Linked DNA regions of Saccharomyces cerevisiae S288C. Changing the gene in region 2 together with the main gene of any one other region gives a genetic interaction. Each region holds a gene or a part of one and is shown on either strand. Other genes may lie near its edges.

The links. Genes that interact genetically often act in the same process or in processes that back each other up.
Region 1: mutations in PAL1 (region 2) and SPS2 together harm fitness more than expected from each alone (negative genetic interaction), as found in Saccharomyces cerevisiae (2 studies listed by BioGRID).

Annotation. Positions count from the first base shown.
Region 1 is NC_001136.10:1,483,540-1,487,297, forward strand, and holds SPS2 (Sps2p), read right to left. Parts: upstream 1,765-3,758; coding exon 256-1,764; downstream 1-255. Other genes in the region: putative serine/threonine protein kinase SPS1, read right to left, coding at 2,027-3,499. UniProt on the Saccharomyces cerevisiae protein: Involved in middle stages of meiosis. Redundant with SPS22 for the organization of the beta-glucan layer of the spore wall.
Region 2 is NC_001136.10:1,169,826-1,173,483, forward strand, and holds PAL1 (Pal1p), read right to left. Parts: upstream 2,001-3,658; coding exon 501-2,000; downstream 1-500. Other genes in the region: mitochondrial 37S ribosomal protein mS43 MRP1, read left to right, coding at 1-318; YPS7 (putative aspartic endopeptidase), read right to left, coding at 2,561-3,658. UniProt on the Saccharomyces cerevisiae protein: Involved in the early step of endocytosis.

The DNA.
Region 1 (3,758 bases), 310 kb from region 2:
TCATCTACCTAATGAGCTCATTTTGTTAAGATGATCTACCATAATAATTATTCAAAAACTGTCAAAATTAAAAGGAGGGTAACAGTTTCAATAGTTTAACCAGTTTTGGTAATGCCTGAAATAACATAAAAAGCTGATGCTAAGTGGGCTACGCTATGCTCCAGGTGAAGATAATCAGAACACTACATCTCTACTGCAAATTTATATCTCATAAGAACTAAATAAAATGGCTAGTATTTAAGTTAATCTTCTAACCTAAAAAATTATCGAGAACAATACCGTGAAAACTGCATAAACTGACATTTTGAAAGCATCAATAAAAATGTTCTTCGGAGCACTGTTTTCCATCTTCTTTGAACTTCCTTGACTTTTTGCACCATTTTTTCCTTTTTCTTTCTTTCCATTATCATTGTCAGTTTCCTGCTTTCCTAGTACATTCCCCTCTTCATCAACATTCAGCATTTTACTTTTCATACCAGATGTGCATTCGATTTTACCGCCTCTTATGATCGAACGACCGGCTTTTGGTGATGTAAATTCTTCACAGTTTAATTCCTCAGATGAACTTTTGATATAAGCGCTACCTTTTACTAACTTTAGCTCTGGGAGGTCAATTTTATCAAAGCTACCTTCAAAATATATTGCACCGCCAATTTGCCTCAACTTGGGGAAGAAATCAATTTTGGCAAGCTCTGTATTGTTAGCAATCATTAGACCCCCTTGAATATCGGTGGCATTCGAAAAGTTTAGCTTTTTCAGATTTTTATTATCTATTAACCCCAACGTTCCTTGAACTTTTGCCAAAAGTGGTAGTTCCAAGCTTGAAAATTGATTCTCGATGAACTCTAGAGAACTGTTCACAGAGGAAAGTTTAGCTAGTTTAATTTCTGAAACGTCCTTAATGGTCATATTTTCAACCGTGTGTAAGTTGCTCAAATCAAGTTCCAGCTCTTTGGCATTAGAGTGGACGGTTAGTTGTTTAGTAACACTTTCTAAACTTGCGAATAAATTTTCTAAAAACCTGTTATTGTTGATATTGAAAATATCCACTTTCTTGACGTTATTGAAGTAATCGATGGAGGTTAATGCAGTATCAGATATGATAATATTTTTGATCTTTTTAATATTTCCGTTAATGACAACACTACTTAGAATAGGCAAAACTCTCCAATCAACGGTTTCAACTTCTTTTAAAGCGGGAAAGTCTAATGATACAAAGGAAGTTAGGCTATCCAATTCCAACTTTCCCAAAGACTCTAAATTATAACCCTGGATTCTAAAAATGTGTTTGTTATTCTTGATAATAAGATCTCCCTCTATCTCTCTTATTAACCCTAGATCAATAAGAGATCCGCTGTAGTTACTTGATATTTCAATGTTTCCTACCACTTTCCAACATTTAGCTTGCAGTTCAATCAAATTTCCAGCATTCTCAATATGATACAAGCCTTTTTTACAGTCTTCATCTACTTGTGTTTGTTTTGTTGGAGAAATCACCTCAAAATCAGTTTGTTCCTTTTTAGGGATCGTTGCATTAGTGTTAACCAACATAATGTTGTGATCTAGAATATTCGGTCCACCATTAGGTTCAACTGCAGCGGATGATTTAATTAACTGCAGAAACAAGAATAAAAATCTTAAGATTGTGTTCAACTGGTTCAACATGCTATCCTTTTCTTTTTTTGTAGAAACTTTGGTTTCTTTATTGACTATTTGAATAACAGAAATACTAGTGAAGAATGTTTGTGTTTTCCAAATTGGCATTTTCTTTTATAGTCTAAGTAATGCCACAAAATATTTTTTTTGAGACGCATCAATGACGGGACAGTAAAGACATAAACGCTCGATCAGAAAAAAAGAATCGAAAAAAAAAGGGAGAAATAAGCAGGTAAATAATCAAAAACACATGACTTTTTACTGTTTGTTATATAATTCAATATATCCATCCTTCATTTATTGAAGATGAAAGAGAATGGAAAACAAAAACTCATGCATATACACACATTATATATATATATCTATTTTTTTAAACGAATCCTTTCTTTATTGCTTCAATTCTTAGTGAGATCTCTTCTATAAAAACCTCATTAAATCCAGGAACGTTTGCCTCAGTTTTAATGAATTGCTTTAACATTTCATTTACGTATTTTCTTGTTTCATCGTCGCGCGCACGATCATACATTCTGTTGAGAATATGAGATACAATGTTTTTCAAGTAGTCAAACTTTTCTATCTTCAACGCCTGAATATCGTTCTTTTTATGCTTCTTATTATGATTAGAGAGAGGAACTATTTCGGTCTCTGCTTGAGCATTTGGGCAGCCTGAATCTATATCCATTCCTGAATCAAGCTCGAAAACTGGTTGCGTACATTTTCTAAATGATGAAGAACTTGGGTTGGTTATCGGCGTTACAGTTTGCCCATGAAGTAAATAAGGACTTTCCATATTTAAAGATGATGTTGGAGAGTCTTGTGTAATGGGAGATAATTCCTCTTTGGAAATTTGTGTTGTGCTTAGTCTTGTCGATTCAAAATTCCAAAATTCCTTTCCCCTCACTGTGTTGCTGTTTTTATACAAGCGATTTTGAAGAGGGTATTTGGGAACTTTTGTATATCTCTCCTGAACCTTTTTCTGTTTAATTAGATCAACATCACTTTTCAAGTTCGTTATGGTGATATTCTTAACAAATTCAAATGATAACAAGTTATATGCCGATGGCCGATCAGCAGGTGTTTTAACAAGACAACCAGCTACGAAATCCTTTGCTGCATCCGAAAAGGGACCTTGTAATTTTGGAGGCTTCCTTTTTGGTAAGTTAGTCATAACTTTCATAGGATCATATTTAGATAATGGGGGTAAGCCCTTGAGTAACTCATAGGTGGTGATACCCAAGGACCATATATCTGCTTTCTCATTATACCCATCAACTTCGCAGCAAACAACTTCCGGAGCCATCCAATACGGCGTTCCTACAAAAGTGTCCCTTTTCAAAGTGGAACGAATGTGGCCACTTACTCCGAAATCACCCAACTTAACCATACCTTCTTCATTTAGTAAAATATTAGCTGCTTTGATATCACGATGAATTTTCCTTTGCTCATGCAGGTATTTCAAACCCAAGGTGACTTCATGAATAATGAAGGAAACTTTTTCTTCAGGCAAACCGTTGACGTAACTTCGCTTCAGTAAATCTGAACATGATCCACCGCCGCAATATTCCATGACAATCCACATAGAGACATCTTCTAACATTGTTGCAATATAGTTTGTAATAAGAGGAGATTTCAATTCCGCCAGAAAAAAAATTTCCTGTGCTAACAGTTCAATGTCTTCGTCGGAATGCTCCAGGTTGACCACCTTAATTGCCACAATTTCTTGCGTAACTCTATCCACTGCTTTATACACATCACCAAAGTTACCTCTGCCAATACATGATTGGATGGAATATAGCTTCGATGGAGGGGTTCTTGACCTAATTGATATTTCTTTGCTTTCCATTTTGTGCTATTTTCTTTTGTTGTTTAGTAAATGAATTAGCTAGTAAAAAAACTAAATTTAAAAAGCAAATGCTGGTTTGCTTTCTTTTGAGAAATGTTTGCTAAGACAACTGACTAGCCAGGTGTTCACTAAATCGATAATATTGAAAATGGCAAAATAAGAAAAAAAAAGAAGAGAATTAGCTGGCTTTTTTTGGATAGGAAATATTAAATGAAGCAGTTGGAACCAAGATAATAAACAAAAACAGTATATTAAGTGA
Region 2 (3,658 bases):
AATGAGCTCAATAACCAATATACCAACATGGAAAAACAACGAGCCAAAGAAGCCGGTAATCTTGAAGATTCTGAGATGACTGCCAAGCAAGCCAAGACAAAATTTATTTATGAAACCCAACAGAAAGGTTTTTCTGGGAAAGAGGTTTCATATATCCCGCTTTTAGCCATTGATGCGTCACCAAAAACATGGTTAACTGATTATGGCGTATTTGGGAAACGAGAATATTTAGAAAGGGTATGGGACTCTATAGAATGGAAAATTGTAGAGTCAAGGTTACCTCAACGTACTAAGATCCAAGCATTCAACACGTTATGAATGAAACTGGTAATGGGAATTTTTTCCTTTTGATATAAGTTGGTAGTCTCTGTAAATATATAAAGTCAAACTATTCGTAATGTGTATATAACGTGGTCTTAAATTATTTTTATTCGTATCTCTCCCTTTTATTTGCCTGGCTTTGGTGTCTCATAGCTTCTTTTCTCTCTTTTAAGCTCACTTTACTGACTTTTCCTGCCGACCTTTAGACTTTTTACTCTGCTCAGTAATTTGCTGCCCGTCGATTTCTTTTTCATATTGGGCTCATTGTAGCGCACACCCAAATAAACGTCTTCCTCATCTTCATTGTGATCATCTTGGCCGTCGAAATCAGTAGTATAATTGGACTTATGCGTTCTGTTAGGAGAATTAACGGTTTTCGACCTTCTAACACCTTCATTGCTGTGACCAACATCATAGTTGTCTCTACTTAAACTCAAGTTTCTTCTAACGCCTGTCATGGGGGCATTGCTATCACCGGATCCTCCGAGACCTAATCGTTGAGAAAGTGACTTATTTCTTTGTAAACCACCGTTACGATTATGATAGGAATGGGCTTTTATGTCGTTTCTAATGGCAGCTGAGGAGGCCGGCGCCCCATCTAAAAACGTACTAGAACCTAATCCCGCAGTAACTGGCCCATGAACCAATTCTGTCTTATTTTTGGCATCCATTTGTTGGACGTTACCCACGTTTGCTTTTATTGCGTCCTGCGTATCACCACCTCTCCTTAGAGTCTGCGAACTGTACTGGTATATATCAGAATCATCTGTATCATCTCTCCCAAAAACCTCATCCAGGGCAGACTTCTTGGTTGAAGCGCCACCGATGGTACTGTTTGGACCATCGACCGGAAATGCTAAAACAGGCGCAGCTTTGTTATTTTTATTTCTATGAGGTGTTACTGCATCGAATGGGCCGTCATGATGAAATGAGCCACCGAACAATCCAGTTACATCTAACTTATCGATAGTATCGACGTTCTTAGGAACAATAACCTTACTTTTTCTCTTTCCCTTCTTAGAAGGCGTTGAAGATGAGGAAGCTTCACGGTGATGGTGGGATGAAGATCTGCGTGAAATATATGTGCCGCTGTTGCTATGTTCGCGGTGAGAAGAAGGACGAGAAACCTTTTCCTTTGGATATGCACGCCTTGATCCATTGGTTGAAGTGATCTCTTCGTATGAGGGTGGTAGGTCAGTGTTTTCTCTTGTGTTACCTACTGTACTTACGTCACTTTCCTCCAAATATCTTTGCCTTAATTGTTCTTTTTCTTCTTTAGCAGTGGGATGATTTTTATTCCTTGAAACAGGTGGGGGAGACCTTCTAAAATCGGTTGCAGAACTCACATCGTCTAGGAAAGGATTCTTTGAGGAAAGAGGTCTCGAAGGTGGTGATAAACTACCACTACTAAAGCTCTCCAAACCAGAATAAAAAGCACCCTGCTGATCTGCGTTTCGCTGGGGTTCATCCTCTGGAATGTTTGGGAATGATAATTGTGAAGAAGTTCTTGTGTTCAATTGTGGCATATCAAATGAATTGGTACGAGATTGGTTTTTCGCCCACTCCTGAAACTGGGAGTCATTTTTATACTGATTAATACTTGAATCAACTGTGGCATTTCTAAACGGGTTATTAACAGAAAATGGCCTACTAGAGGTACTACTGTTTCTATTCTCCATGCTAAATCTTGCGTATATGTATCAATTTTTCTAAAAATGGAAAATGCTGGCAAAGTGTAATGGAACCTACAATGTATCAACAATTAAGCAGTCGAAGATTATGGTAAAATGACGTTACGTGTTCGAAGGGATAGGTCTGCAAAACACTTAAATTCCTCGAATAAAAATAACAATAAAAAGAGCGAGGTAGATCGGATATATTTCGGATTCTACACACTATAAAATACAAATTAGAAATTTTACAGAGTTACCTCCCAAGAAAGAGTATCTTCATTTTCTAGTGAATAACCTATCGCCAGTCACCATGATCTGCTGTTGAACCAACCTCGAGGCGGGAAAAAAAACAAAAAAAAAAGTAACGCGATTTACGCTCCGTGCACGACGATTCTTTGAGATGGCTGCCAATGGTTGATCACAAGTACTAGCTTCTACACAACTGGATAAGAATGACGCATATATACTTTTAAGTATGTTGTTATTAAATCTGCTATATAATGATGTTATACGTGCATTGGTCAAGGAGAAAAAGGTTTTATGTTATGAACTTTTGTTAAAACCATTCAAAGAACAATAAGTATCGAGAATATCGAAAGTAGTAGCAAGGAAGCTATACGAGTTACATGTCCAGCTGGATCTTTGTTAAATGTATAAGGACTGCTCAATCGAACGCCTGCTCCCGAAGCACTGCTGGTTCTATTAGTTGAATTTGACCACTCTTCTGAGGCTGACACAGAAAAGCTGTCGAATTGAGTACTGGATGGTCTAGCACTTGTGCTTGCTCTTGAAGTATCATAGAATGACCGGCCCGCACCTGTAATCACACCGTTTGAGTATGCTGCTGTCAGTTGACCTGGGACAGTGAACATATAGCCTGACCTATAGGATGGATAAAGAGTCAAGTTTCTTGTATTACTACTATTCATCACTTTTGCGTAAGGAATGTAACCAGATTTGATCTTCTTGATGATAGTGGACGCGGTAGTTTCATTTGTCTCTTCAGTAACTGCGTCATCTTCAACCTTCTTTGCCTGTGCAATGGCTATAGTGTTATCCTCTAAGTCCATTGCCATATATATATTTTTTATGAAGGCTTCTCCGAGTATGTTTACTCCAGTATTTGTATTAGCGTATAGTGTTAGAAAACAAGCTTCCTGTCCAGAACTGAAAAACATTGAAGAATTGGTGGATGTATCGTAAGTAGATGATAATAAATCACGTAGGGGTATTTCAATTGTCAATTCTCGAAGCCTGAAACCCAAGGAGACACCCATATCTGCTATAGAACATTGGACTAGCCACCTATCTAGTGATTCCACATAAGTGGCCGCAATTTGAACGGCAATCTGAATAATGGTACTAGTTGGCAGGTAACTGACCGAAGAAGTTGAATCAAGTAAGGCTGGGCTCAGAAAGTCCTTCGAAGTCATATTCAAACTTTGTCCGCTGTTAGACACAATATAAATAGGGCCTAATGGCACAATTGGGTACCCAACACTAACAGCATTACTCACTGGGTCAACGTAAGGAATTAAGTCAAATTTTCCCAGTGTACCGGTAAACAGCGAAGGATCCACCCCTCCAAGAAGTAGCTTCCCACAATTAGATATTGGATCTCTATATGTTTTGTACGTGGAAGTGTCTCCAGCCAACCACAGTGA